Lonchura striata: one gene and its partner. The protein of the gene in region 1 purifies or fractionates together with the protein of each later gene. This does not show direct contact. Links are inferred from orthologs where the notes say so. Each region holds a gene or a part of one and is shown on either strand. Other genes may lie near its edges.

Evidence for each region.
Region 2: the proteins of XRN2 (region 1) and CDKN2AIP purify together in Homo sapiens (affinity purification with mass spectrometry; 4 studies listed by BioGRID and IntAct, with this or other methods). This does not show direct contact. The link is inferred for Lonchura striata from reciprocal best matches to the Homo sapiens genes XRN2 and CDKN2AIP.

The regions. Positions count from the first base shown.
Region 1 is NC_134605.1:28,057,081-28,064,429, reverse strand, and holds the start of XRN2 (5'-3' exoribonuclease 2), read left to right. Parts: upstream 1-4,291; 5' UTR 4,292-4,355; coding exon 4,356-4,430; intron 4,431-7,349. Other genes in the region: KIZ (centrosomal protein kizuna), read left to right, coding at 577-680. UniProt on the Homo sapiens protein: Possesses 5'->3' exoribonuclease activity. May promote the termination of transcription by RNA polymerase II.
Region 2 is NC_134606.1:32,360,450-32,367,841, reverse strand, and holds the start of CDKN2AIP (CDKN2A-interacting protein), read left to right. Parts: upstream 1-4,260; 5' UTR 4,261-4,278; coding exon 4,279-4,505; intron 4,506-4,600; coding exon 4,601-4,731; intron 4,732-5,447; coding exon 5,448-6,982; 3' UTR 6,983-7,392. UniProt on the Homo sapiens protein: Regulates DNA damage response in a dose-dependent manner through a number of signaling pathways involved in cell proliferation, apoptosis and senescence.

The DNA of each region.
Region 1 (7,349 bases):
GTCCTATGCATGGGTCAAAAGAATTCACATCTCCAGAAATCTCTCAGGCACTCTGAATTTCCGTGGGATTCTGCTGCCGTCAGTAAAAGAGTTTGCTGATTCTCAGAGCCTAAGGTAAAAGCTATGTATGTGCTCCACTGAGATCAGACCTGCATGGATCTGCTCTGATCTCCAAGTGGTGATTTTTCATTTGTGATGCCATTGCTATTTTTGTGCCAACCCTGTGATGTCATGGCCCTCTGGTGACTTCATCGTAGGGTCAAGTAGTGGGGAGAAAGGGGAAGAGAATAGACAAAGCTGCAATTCAGACAGCATTTGGTCAAGTAAATTGCTTGGAGTGGAAATATTCTGCCCAGCTACCTTGTGGCACAATGGAGTGGAAGCATTGAATGAGGCCGCTGTCCAGCAGCCGCTCTGCTGCCGGACACTATGCCAGACACGCACACCTGGGGCTGAGGCTCCCAACTCCCAGCCCTCAGTCAGCCTCAGGAGACCTGTCCTGTGCTCATGGCTGTGACAAGTGGCATGGTCACAGAAAAGGTTTTGCACCTCTGCTTTCCGTCTTCTCACCCACAGCATTCTGGGGCGAATCTGACGACAGCTGCTCCGAACTCGAGGCTGCTCTGCGCCCACGGACCCACGGCACAGATTCAGACGACTTTGATGACTTCTATGACTGAGATTCTCTCACTGGCTTTTGGGAAGAAACAAACTGTGTTTTCTTTTACACAATGACTGTGCCACAGGCTGCAGCACTGCCTGTTACTTAATTGGCAAAGAAAATTTAAATACCAAATAAATGTAATGGGTCCTATATATTGTCTGTGTGCTCTCTCTGACCTGCAGTGTTTTCCTGCTCTGATGGGAATCCTGCCCCATGACAGTCCCCTCCTGAGGCTTGTGGCATCCCAATATTGGGACTTCAGTGCTAGACAGGGTTTGGGAAGAAGCAGACATGCATTGTGGGTATGCAGATAGGCGCTGCTGGGGTGGGCTGGTATGTTTGATCTTTATCTTCTTCTGCAACAGATCAAGAAGAAGAAATGCATAAAATGTCCATTTGTAATTCAGCACATTTTGGAACAGAGCAGCATTTACATGTGGCAAGCCCCAGCGCTTTCCTGCTTTTCCCTGCTTTGTGAAATCCATGCTGGTGTTGCTGTGTGGACATCACAGTAATTGGATGACTCCAGGAGCTTAATGCATTTTTAATTTTCTTCTTCCTTTTATCTAAAAATTACGTTCATTAAACATGAGATTTTCTTTGGGATGGAGAAACTAGGGGACATGTTAAAGCTGTTCTTAAATGACAACAAGTTCAAAAGCAGAAAGCAGCACCCCAATTAAGCTGTGCTGTGCTGTGCTGCACTCCCACGTCTCCCAACACAGGCACCCATCTCTGCACCCCGTTCCTCAAAACCCAGCTAGAAATGGGACCAACATTCAGTGTAATAAGAGGAACGTGTAGGCTGAAAGCTCAACAGAACAAAATGACTTGCAGAAGTCTTGGAACCAAGCAGAAGCTATTGGCACAGCTGGCTGCTGTGAGTAAGGCTGACATCCTGGGAGACTGCTGGGACTGTTGCAACTGACAGAGTGAGAGGACACAGTCTTTAGCTGCACCAAAGGAAATACAGGTTGGATATTAGGAAAAAGGTTTTTTACAGAAAGAGTGATAAAGTACTGGAATCATCTGCCTGCGGAGATGGTGGAGACACCATCCGTGGATCTGCTTTAAAATAGACTAGATGTGGCACTCAGTGTCGTGGTTGAGGTGTTAGGGCATGGGTTGTACTCAATGATCTTGAAGGTCCCTTTCAACCTTGTGGTTCTGTAACTAAAGCCAGACTTTACTGAGGGCTTTAATGTCCTTTTTACCACACCAACGCTCTGTGTCCTGTGGGACTGCTGCCTGCTGTCAGTGCTGTGGGGTGTGCATGTTGCTCAAGGCCTGGGAGGAACGTGGAGAGGCGGAGCAGCCTCACTGGAAAAATCCAGCAGCTTGCGCTACCAAGGGACATTGCCTCAGCAGCGCAGTGTCTTTGCAGCTCTGAGCTCCTCCTGAGTGACTCTGGGCTGCTGATGTCAGCCCGCTTTCTGTCTGCTGCATGACACCAGTGTGTGGGGCTTTCCACCACCAGAGTCTGGCTTAGCCCTGACAGCGGCCCATGACAGGTGACGGATGGCTGTAGAGCCACATGCAGGCAATCTCTGCCTCTTGGTGTCGGAGCAATAGCCAGGTTCCTCCAGAGCGTTATTGATGATACTCTTATTGTGCACAGACTCATTTGATTCAAAACATCCTGCCAGTCAACTAGTCAACTTCCCTGTGCTCTTTCACAGCTGTCACGCTGGCAGCCTGGCCCTGGTTGCAGGTGATGCTGACAGACAGAGGGACTGGAATCAATACACCCCAAACAGATTCCCATCAGCGCACCACTCATCTGAGGAAAGTGCCTGAGTAGGAAGCCTTCCTTGCTCCTGCCCAGGGTTCTCTGCTCTGTGCTGTGCTCATGGATGTGCAATTAGCAGGTGAGACCCAGGCTCACTGCCCAGTGCAGCTGCTGATGCTCAGACCAACTTTTCAAGGAATTGTCTGCTGCAGTATTCATTTTTCCAGCACTTGTTTACCCAAGCAATTATAAGATAAGATGATCGCCTTTCATTTGCATCTGCCAGCCTTCTGTTTTCTTCATCATTATCAGAAAAACTGATTGCCCATCAATACAAATAAAATGTTCATGCTAAGCTGCCATGCTCCCTACAAAATTCCGGGAGGAGAAGCACTACAATAGGAAGCTTCAATCAGGGAACATTTTGTAAGGAACAGATAAAGCACAATCTTCAGCTGATACCACAGGTGTGGTTGGTGCGACTACAAAGTTGCAGGGGAAATTTATTGAAGTCACAGATTTTATTGAGGGGAATGACAACAAAAAATGGCTTAACAACAGCCAAATGAGGATAAGAATAATGAGAGACACAATACTGGGTTAATTTATTCTACAGTGAATTAGCCAGGTACCAAAGTTCTCCTCTGCAACCCAAATCGGCAGCGTTGACTCAGCAAGCACTGCTGAGACTTTGTTATTTTTGTTAATGACTCCCAGGCTGCTGTTCCCTGTCCTTGGCCCTGCGGCTGCCCTGCTAACGGAGCTGATGGATGGCAACAGGACATGGCAGAGCAAAACCTGGCTTGTCTTAATCCCATTTAATTCCCAACCGTTTAATTCCATTTTGGTGCTGTTGAACGGCCACAAATTAACAGTATTTGCTTATGCCACGGGCAGAGCAAGGGCATGGGGACTCCTTGCCTCATGTTGCTCTCAGGAATCACAAAGAGCCACTTCCCACTGGAAATGTCCCCTCAGAGGGCACAGAGCAGCTGTGCCCTGAATTGCTTCTGTTGTTGCCAAACGCAGGATAAGTCAAAATTGTCTGAAGTCGGGATGTTCTCTAATGTAATATTTTTGTATACTTCCATGCAGAGACGTATTAGTGCATCCCTTCAAGGACACCCTGGAACCACCAAGCTTTAAGGATATAGGAAATCTAGATGTTGATGCCTATGTGTGCATTCCTAACTTGGCAAAACACCCAAATTCCATGTATCCTACAGCTGAACCGTGTTTGTCGTAACACTGAAACTCACACCTACAGGCCAAGAAGAGGTGCAGACCCTTCCCCTGAGCACATGGAAGAGTTGGCTGGGGTTACGTAACTCATGTGGAAATAACTGATCAATCCTAAAAGAGGGGCTGTGCTGAGGATGTTGCCAGCTCTGGATTTTTAAGTAACAGTGGTTGTGCTGCATTTAGGGAATATATTGAGCATGCAGCTCACGCAGCACTGAAATAAATCATCCATGTCTCTCTTAATTATTGACTTGTTGGACAACAGTGCCGTGCAGCCTAAAGCACCCCTCAGCAGCACCCCATGTTTTAACAAGGTGCTAAAGGAAGGTGATTCTCCTGTTAAACTGCTTCTTTATGGCCGTTTTTGAAGAGAAGTTGTCGCACTTGTCTTGGCTGAGTGTGAGGGCGGCAGTGGGGCTGCCTCAGGCTTCCCTCAGGTTTCGCTTTCCCTCCTGGATATCACTCTTGTGCCCTCTGGTTTTGCTTTTTCCCTGTGAGCGTCCCTTTTGTATGCCAGGAGCTGCGCAGACCCGTTTCGGGGCGCTGTCCCCTCACGCTCCCGGCTCCCGCCGCTGCCGCGCTCCCCGCCCCCCCCCAGACGGCGGCACCGCGCCACGTGACCGCGCGCGCCGCCCCCTCCCTTCCCGGCATGCCCCGCGCCGCCCCCTCGACCCGGAAGTGCCGCGGGTGCCGCTGGCCGCAGCCCGTCTCGCTGCCGCCATGGGGGTCCCGGCCTTCTTCCGCTGGCTCAGCCGCAAGTACCCCTCCATTATCGTCAACTGCGTCGAGGAGAAGGTGAGCAGGCCGCCCGGCATGGCACGGGCCCGGCATGGCGCCCCGGGGCGCCTCGGTCGTGGCGGCCGCACCGGTGCTGAGCCCCCGCTGTTGCCCCCGTGGGCTGCCCCGAGGCCTTTCCAAGGCATGTCGGTGGGTAGGTGGACTAGGGTTGTGTTTGGGTTTGTTTCGGGTGCTGTTTAGGATTGGGAGAAGTTTGAGGGTTTTTTGGGTTTTGGAGTTTTTTTCGGATTTTTAATCCCGATGGAAGCGGGAGGAGTTATCCCAGCGCCTCGTTGAGTGCCGCCGGCGCGCGTGAGCGCTCCTGGAAGGAACGGGCACGTGGAGGAAGTGGGAATGGGCGCCGGAGCAGGGAATCGAGCCCCTTCTCCGGCCGCTTCGCTGGAATTCCAGCCCTTCCCGACGCCCTCGGCTCTGCCCTCATGCGACTTCGATCCGGAAAGGTGGGATTTGAGGCACTGGTGAAATTTGAGTAGGGAGCAGTGGGAGTGCTTTTTGCTGTTTCTTGAATGTTTTTCACAGTCCTTTCTTTTCCACAACTTTTTTTGATGGGAATTAGAAGCCGCAGCAAGCTCCAGAACTTCCTGGAAACACGAGCGCAGCCGCCTCTGGCGCTACATCCAAGACTTACACCAAGCCTGTGCTTGTGCTCGAACCTTGATCAGCCTCAGGGGGTTTTGTCTCGTTGTTGGTGTTTTCTAGTTCAGGATAAACATCTCCTGGCCGAACAGGGAGCTGATTATTCCAAAGATGTCTCTAAAATATGGCTTTCCATGGCGGCAGCAGCAGCAGGTTTCAGTGAAGGCTCTGACCACAGCTGCCTTTCCAGGCAGTATTGAAGCTGAAGTGATGTTTGTTTCCGTGTTTTTTTGGACTGGTTCCTTCAGGCACATGCCTGCAACTGTGAGGGTGTTGTACCATCCTATGGGTCACAGTGGGAAGGGACAGGAAGGATGGGGGGGGGTTGTCTCCCTTCAGCAGCAGGCTTTGAGTGGCTGCACCATGGTGAATTACCACACTGTGCCCTGAGTGTGGCAAGTTTGCCTTCTCAGGGCTAATTCGAGCCTTTCTGAGGAGGCAGACTCTGGAGCTCTTGCTTTCCAAACTGCTTTTCCCATGGGCTTTTCCAAATAATTTGTGTTGTCTTGTTAGATGGTACTGGCTGTGGTGTGCTGGTTTGGAAAGTTCAGGGCATGTGGTGGCGCTTCTGCCTCTCTGCTCCTTCTCCCAAGGTGTGCTCACCTTGGGGAAATACTTGGAAGGGGATAGAGTGGGAGCATGATGGAGGAGGTCAGGGAGAAAAGGGTGAAGTGGTGAAATTCCGTGTTGAGGCTGCATGTGTACCCTGCCTGCAGCAGGATGTTCCGCTCTGCGCTTTTTCAGGGTGTTTTTGTGTTTCCGATTCAGGCAGTGAAGCACAGATTTGGTTAAAATTGTGAGTTGCTTTTGTGGTTTTATTACAGCTGTGATTTCAGTCCCTCTCAGCAAGGTAGGAAGTTTATTTTGCCTGTCGCTGCGAGAAGTGAATTTTTAATAGGGGGCAATTAAGATCTAAGAATCTGTCTGGGAATTTTTATAGAATAAAAGGGGGGTTGTGGGCTTAACAGTTTCTCTTAATGCTGAGCTCCAGCAGCACTGGCTCTTCTGGTTTCTGCACCAAACGCCTGAGGTGACCTCTCCCGAGGATCTGGGAACCCTCAGGCTCTGGGGCTGTCTTGGATAACCCTTTAAGATCTGTTATTGAAAAGCAGCAACAATTTAAACAGCAATTATATCTGTAACAGTTTGGGGCAGTTGTCTCTAAGAGCAGATTTGCCTTTTTCAGCACATTTGTAAATGTTAGATTAATCTCTGTGTAATCAAAGCTGTTCTCACATTTAGGCAAAACAAAGGTTTGCATAACCCTGGTTTTACTGATTGTGTGTCTCTTTTTATCAGTCTTTAATAACTGAGCTTGTACCATCCAAAGTTATTTATTAAAATAAGTGGAAAGACATAACAAATTCTTTGAATTAGATTTGCCGTAAGTGAAGTGGCAGCTCTTGCTGTCCTCATCCATGTTGCCTTGTTCCAACTCAAGAGCACGTGCAATTACAGCCAGGACAGCACATGGATAAATCATATTCATTAACATTTTTTTATATTCAAATCTGGTCATAAATCTGAGAGTGGACTAGGACATCAGGGAGAAGCTGTAGTTTGTCTTACTGTCAGTGAATTTAAGCTTCTCTCACAATGTAATCAGCTCTGTGTTTGTTTTAGGATTGCTGTAAATCTCTCTAATCAGAAATTTTGTATCTCCTCGTAGCTTGTCTCTCAACTGAAAAGTTGATCCTTGTTCTCTTACCTTGCCAGATTAATCAGATTTAAGAAAAAGAAATAATCTTCTTCTTAAGCTAAGCAGGAAGAATGAGAGGAAGATCTTGACGATAATAAAAAATCCAGGAGAGAATATTCTTAATCAAATGGACAGGAATTAATAAAGCTGCAGCTGAAGTATCATGTTTGAAGATCTGTTTTCAATGGTTTCAAAAGAGGCTGTAGATGAGAAGTGAACAGTTTAGTTATATCACAAGTGATATCGCTGCCACATACTTCAGCCTTCCTTCCACACGACTGCTGCATGAGAACCCCAGTGGGTCTGTGAAGGGGGGCTCATTCTCTGCCTCACAGAGCTGGGATTCCTTCTGAATCCCATTGAGCCCTGGAGAGAGGGTGGCTGGGGATCAAGGAGAATTCAGGGGGTAGCCCAGAGGAAGGTACAGTGTTTGCACTGACACTTAGTTTCTGCTAGCACTACCTTCTTTTGAGTGTGTGTGTGTGTCTGGAGAGCTCAGTAAAGGAGGCAAACATTGGTGCTTGGGGGTGGCATCTGTCAGGATAGCTGTGCCAAATGTAAATACTGCAAGACTTCAGAGG
Region 2 (7,392 bases), on another chromosome or scaffold:
ATATCAGGAAACAGCAAAACATCTCTTCCCCATCCTTCTTCAAGCTGCATTTCTAATGAGCTTAAGCCAGAGCTCTCCAGTAGCTTACTTATTACTTATAGCAGGGACCAACCAGAGATGGTGTCCAGGGGATTTACTGTGCCAGGCCAGTAAGATTTCACTGTTACTGCCTTTCTGTGGAAATAACTCAGCTCTCTTTGCATTGCATGATGTTAAGAGCACAGTTCTCATATTAAGTTGAGTAGGGAATGTCACTATATATTAAACTTAACTGCACAGAACATAATTGAACTCAATGGGAGATGCTGCCCTCTATGTTTCAGTGGGACTTGACTTTGAAGAAATAATAATTCACTGGTTTATAAAGGCATTTATAAACTTATTATACAAGAAGTGCCAGTGCAATACTATGATTTATAGACACTGGTATGATTCACCTTGAGATTTTTGTTGTATCTTGCCAAAAGCAGCTATTATCAAACCCCAAATGACTCTTAACAACACTACTATTGACATGGCATTTAGAAGTTCCTTCCCTAGTGGGAACAAAACCATCTCTTTTCTTCCAATGTTGAAAATTAAATGCACAGCATTAACACCACCAGTGAGGTGTTTAACTTCAAAATTGCCTTTCCTGGTGAGAATGAAAATAGTACGTGCTTTGTTTTTCAAAATTAACAGCAGTGTTTTTCTCTCTTTTCTAATACACATACTTATCAACCTGAGACACAGTTATATCCCTTAGCACTAATAGAGTATTGCAGGTATACACCTATGCTTGTCTGTGCACAACATCCCAGACTCCAGGAGTAGGATTTATCCTGTTCCAGTGTGATTCAAGCACACATTAATAAAGCAGAAAGAATATGACTGGGAAAAAACTGTTAGGGAAGACAAAAGGCTCATTTTAAAGTAATCTTTGTACCAGTAACAACACATTGATGCAGTAGTAACACAAAAGAAAATCAACCCAAAATTAAAGCATGAGGTTCCAGGAAGGCATCAGACCAGAGAAGTTCCTCGCTACAACCAAAACCTGTTGTTAGCCATTCTACATGTGTGCAAAACTATTCCTGATTTTTCTCCAGAAGTCACCAATATTTGTGTTCACACATATAGTCACCAGGCAAAGAGGTGAAATGGCTCTCTGTTAATTTGTCCTCAATAATTGGACAAGGGTAAATTCTTCTAATCAGTCCTTTAGCCACTCTAGGACCAGATGTGCCGAGTCTCCAACACTTCCTAGAACAATTCTTTTTTTAGGAGCCCAGGACTCACAGGTGAGTCCATATAATCTTATGCACACAGGATGACTGGAAGCACTCACAAAGCCCTGAGGTGTGGAGTCCTACCTCTGTGGTTTGGCTGTCATTAAGTCAGCAACACCAGAATATGACTTCTGGAGATCCCTCTGAGTATTTGAAATGTTCCTTTCACCATCCTGTGGAATCTAACCCTCCCCAGCTCCCACTCTTAACTGGTATATGAGCAGCTCAACATGGGCTAGTCCTTAGTCCACTTGGCAACTCAGATGCTTGAGGAGGAGGACAGGATATTCTTGTCTGTACTGCTTGCTCTTCTCCTTCTGCAAGAGTACAGACAATTCTACTGCAGCTACTCAAGACTTTATTGAATTCCTGCTGTCTCTGAGGGGCAGATCTTAAGCCCAGGTCAAGTCTCAAACAACTTCATTAGAAAGCAAAATGGTTCATTGAAGAGCATAAACAGGCTGGCAGAATGAATGATCTTGACTGAGGTGCAAACTGAAATCTATGTTTGCCAAGGATTTCATTCACCCTACGTTCTAAGGTCTGTATGGACCATGAAGTCAGGAACTGTGGTATCACAGACTCAGAGGTCTAGGAGACAAACCCACCTCACCTTTAAGCAGAATCCCTAATGTGACACATCATGCCCTTCCTGTATTTGAGCCTGTATTACAGGATAACCACATGTGGGACTGATACAACAAATGCCTGGAAATACATGTGGTGATTACACTTTCTAAAATTTCTGACACTGTTTTGTAACAAACACATTGCTCCAAGACACCCACAGCAGAGAAGATACAAATTTTCTGCCCTTCTCTTCCTGTCAGCCCCATCCCATTCATTACTGTTCCCTTGCTCTCTGTCACTGAACTATTCTTGCCAATGCACAAGATAACATTGTGTGGCCCAACCAGGAAAGCAAAGCAAAAGCACTTCCATCCCAACAATGGAAAAAGAGCAAAAGGGCATTGGACTTCTTTTTTCTGACTTCATTTCCTTAATCCCTTCATTTTTGCTCTGTAGAGGCACTCTTAGTTAAACCGCTACATAACCATTTCCACAAAATAAGACATCTAGGTCATTAAGGAGAAATACTTCTTCCTTAAATGCAATCTATTCTGTAGTTCAGTTCATAATGACATGTAGGTGTTAAAAATTGAAAACTTAAGCAAACCCAGACTTTTAATTCAGGAGGAAAAATCAATACAGCTCTCCAGGGACAGCCCTTCGGAATTCAAAATTCTTTCCTCTTTTGCACTGACTCAGCAAGCCCTATCTTGGCAGACTGCAGCTTGTGATATTTTCACAGTGTGCTTATTACTTTTTCACAGAGAATTGTTCAAATTATGGAGTAAGATTTTGCAAACTAAAGACAGCCTACAGAGCTGCAAGAGCAATTAGCTGAACCTTTTGTAGGCAGCAGTCCTCATATAATGCTTCCTCCAAAAAGCTACAACAACCCATGTCCTTGCCACTACCTTTCTGTCACATGCCAATGTTGTTAAACCTGGAATATGTCAAGATTATTTTAAGTCAGGGTAAGTCTTTAGTGCAAGCCATCAGGAAAGGAGACCTAATAAGGGGAACAGGCAGTATTGCTTAGTCAAAGACATCTAGGAACTAAGACTTTAAGAATAGAGCAAATCAAGACGTTGATGTACATCTACGTACATTGCTAACTTGGCAAGTACTCTAGGCCCATGGGCCCATGTATCCTATACCTGAACTATCCTCTTATAATATTAAAATTCGTGCCTATAGGTCAAAATACCCCTGCCCAGGTGAAGACCCCTCCCCAGAGCATTGGATAGAAGTTAGCTGGGGTTACATAACTTGTACGGAAATTACTAACCAATTATCATAGAGGAAATTGCTAACCAATCATCACAGAAAGTCCGGAGGGGCATACTAGTTTGTGGAATACCACTGAGAACCCAGGCTTGTGCAATTCTGAAATAAATAATAATTGTCTCTCTTAAGTATGCAATTATTGTCCAGGCAACAAACCCAATTGTATGGACAACACTGAGGAGGAAAGGGGGAAAGGACCTGAGTGTCCTTTTCTTTCACCAATGGAAGATGATCTGTGGGTGCTGGTGGAACATGAATCAGCAATACATGAGCCAACAGTTTGCCCAGGTGGCCAAGAAGACCAGCAGCACCCTGGCCAGGATCAGAGATAGTGTAGCCAGCAGGAACAGGGAAAGGATTGTCCCGTTGTACTCAGCACTGGTGAAGCCACACCTCAATTGCTGCATCCAGTTATGGCCACTCAAATCAGGAAGGCTATTGAGGTGGTGGAGCAAGGCCACAGAAGTGAAACAAAGCTGGTGAAGGATCTGGAGCACAAGCGCTACCAGGAGCGGCTGAGGGAGCAGAGGTTGTTTGGAAGAACAGAAGCTCAGGGGAGACCTCATGTCTCTCTAGAATTACCTGAAAGGAGGCTATAACAAGGTGGGGATCGGCCTCTTCTCCCAGGCAACCAGCGACAGGATTAAAGGACACAATCTTAAGCTGCACTAGGGGAGGTTTAGGTTGAACATTAGGAGGAATCTCTTCACAAAAAAGGTTGGGAAGCATTGGAACAGGCTGCTCAGGGAAGTGGGGAGTCAGCATCCCTGGAGGTGTTTAAAGGAAGACTGGACGCGGCACTTAGTGCCATGGTCAAACGGACAAAGTGGTGCTCGGTCAGATGCTGGACCCCAGGACTACGAGGACTTTTCCAGCCTAAGTGATTCTGTGATTCTGAGGTAAAACACCAACTGATCCGCCACAAACTCCGACCTCAGCAAGCCTGGAAGAAACCAACGCGTACAGCAGAGCTTTTGTTCACGCTTTCCCCAGTCACAGTGCGGGGCTGGCAGCCGAGCCCAGGGCACCTCATTTGCCCGGCACCCGAGACGCGCCGAGGCGCGCACACGGCGGCGCTGCGCGGCCCGGCCCACGCGGATGTGAGCTCACGGCGGCCCGGCGGAAGCCGCGGGGCGGTGTTTCCGCGGCGGCGGCGATGGCGGGCAAGGCGGCGGCGGCGGGCGAGCCCCTCGGGCGGACGGCGGAAGAGGCGGCCTGGGCGGAGACGCTGCGCGGGGCCTGCGAGCCTGAGCACCACTGGCGGTACCGCCGGGAGTTCCTGCTGCGCAACGTGGGGGAGCTGCCGGCGGCGGGCAGCGCCCAGCTGCAGCGCCTGGTGTCCCTCTCCATGGTGTGGGCCAACCATGTCTTCCTGGGATGCCGGTGAGTCCAGCGGGACGCGCCGGGGGACGGGGGGGCGGCGAGGCGCGGCCGTCTGACGAGGCCCCTTCCCTCCTTTCCTCTTGTCGCCCCTCCAGGTACCCGCCGCAGGTCATGGAGAGGGCGCTGGAAATGGCCGAAGGCATCCAAGTGACCGACGCGCCTGTCCGCACCACGAGAGACGAACTGGTTGCCAAGGTGAAGAAAAGAGGCATATCAAGTAGCAATGGTTAGCAGATCATAGCTGTGACAATACATAGGAGTCTAGAAAATTCTTGTTTCTGAATGTTCTCGGTTTGCCTCGGGCTTAGAAAGTAGTTGAAATAATTTACTTTTTAAACTCCCGCTAATAGTTTCCTCTCTCTGTGCTATTCTTTTTCTAATATGTCTCTAAAATGGACATAATGTGCAGATAGTAATTTGGTAATGTAGAGCTGTTGTTTTGAATTTCTACAACTGGTGCACTATAATCTGACAACTTGTGCGTTGTGTTGTGTGCTGCTGTGCTCCAGCTTAAATACGTTCTTGTTACTTTGCCATTGTTGCTGTGTAAGAAACTGCGTTTCTAAAAGTAACTCTCAGACTTATGTTTTAAAGATGTTTTGTGACATTAGTAGACCAAATACACTTCTTTTATTTTTAGGTCAGATAACCCATTTTATGTATGTTGGCCAGTTTCGGTTTGGACTTCAAGAATAGAAATACATATTTGGGTCCAAACCAACATCTAAAATCTTGCATGAGTGTATACCGGATTTTGTCCAAAAAACTCAAAATCCTGAAATAGTAGGTTAATACTTGAAATGACAGTTCAAAGTATATTACTAATATATGCCCTTTAAATTCACAGAGAATATTGCTAAAAGGTTTTAGATTATTTTTCTCTACATGGATATTTCATAGTGCAGAAATCAAAGAGTTTCACATATTTTACCTGTTTTGCAGAAGGGGTAGAGGAGCCCTCCAAGAGACAAGCTGTTGAGAAAAGCAGAGACTCTAAGGATGTTGGAAAGAATGTGAAAACAACCAAAGCAGAAGGAGCAAAGGAAACAGAGAGCACCTTGCCCAAAAAGCAGGAAAAAGGTATTAGCAAAGATCCAGAAACTTCCCAGTCAACTTGCAGTTCAGATCAAGAAATGATCACAGTGTCAGACACAGAAACAGAAGGAAAACCTGCTAATGCTGAAAGTACTGCTGAGCAAAAGCCACCTTCATCTGAGAAAGAGCCAGGAAAGAAGCCTTGTTCAAGCCCACCCAAGGAAATCAAGTGTGAGAATGTGCCATCACCTGAAAAGAAAACTACAGGAAGTGTAGCACCGCTGGCTGCCGAGAGCACCCCTCAGGTAGCAGCAGCAGTGGTGGCAGCACAGCCACCAGCTGCCAAGAGCACCCCACCGGCAGCAGCTGTGGCAGCAGCAGTGCCATCAACCTCCAAGAGCACCCCACAGGCAGTAGTGGCGGCAGCAGCAGTGCCAGTGACCACCAAGAGCACCCCACAGACAGCAGCGGTGGCAGCAGCAGTGCCACCAACCACCAAGAGCACCCCACAGGCAGCGGCGGCGGCGGCAACAGCAGTGCCACCAACCACCAAGAGCACCCCCCAAACGAGTGCTGCGTTGCTGTCTTCCAAAACCCAGCTGGGTGCCCCAGCATCAGTGTCCAAGAACGGTGCTCAGGTGAGCAGCTCACTGCTTCTGGCCCCCAAGAGTGGTACTCAGGTGGGCACCTCCCTGCTGCTGGCTTCCAAAGGCCCGGCTAAGGTGGGCTCCCCGCTCCTGGCCTCTAAGAGCAGTGCAGAGGTAGCTGCCTCTTTGCTGGCCGCTCGGAGTGGTGCGCAGCCGGGATCCTCACTGCTCGCTTCCAAGAGCAGTGCTCAGGTGGCCGCTTCGCTGCTGGCCGCTCGGAGTGGAGCTCAGCAAGGGCCCTCCCGAGGTGGAGCTCAGGCAGGTGCTTCCCAGCTGGCCTCTAAGAGTGGCTCGCAGGCAGGTGAAAGCCCTGCGAAGGCTTTGTGCAAACCGCTGACCAGCGAAGATGCAAAGGAAAGACAACCGTTTTTCAACAGACTCTACAAAGCTGTAGCCTGGAAACTGGTTGCTGTTGGAGGCTTCAGTCCTAATGTAAATCATGCAGAACTTCTAAATTCATCTATTCAGTCTGTAAAAGCTACGTTAGATGTTGCTTTTGTTCCCCTTAAGGAACTTGCAGACTTGCCTCAAAATAAAAGCTCTCTAGAAAACATAGTTTGTGAACTGAGGTGCAAGTCTGTCTACTTGGGTACTGGCTGTGGTAAAAGTATGGAAAATGCCAAAGCAGTGGCTTCAAGAGAAGCTTTGAAATTATTCCTCAAGAAGAAAGTTATTGTGAAGATCTGTAAAAGAAAATACAAAGGTAGTGAAATTGAAGATTTGGTGCTTCTGGATGAAGAGTCAAAACCTTCAAATTTGCCTCCAGCTTTAAGAAATCCTCGTGAGATCTTGTAGGGGGGAGAATCACTGTTTGTACTGTGTATAATATTTCAATACAAGGACTGAAGGTTAATTTTGTACTTTGAAAATGTAGGCTTCCAGATATTTTGTATTTCTTTCTCAGTTTTGCAAGACAATAATAGTTCTTTCACTTGGTAGCAATTGTATAAAACTTGTTAGAGATGACAAGTGCGCATTTAAAGGTATTGCCTTAATATACAGCACACTAGTGTGCTGTTGTATTTGCAAAATAGTCTACCTATCTCTTCTATTTTTAATTAAACTATTAAGGTACAATTTGCTGTTTAAAACACAACGTTTTTGTAATTCTTACAATTTGATGGTAGTGTGCTCAATTGTCTACCATATCTTTTCTAGGCTTGTAGAAGTGTGTACATAGGGACCATAATACTTGAATAATTGAA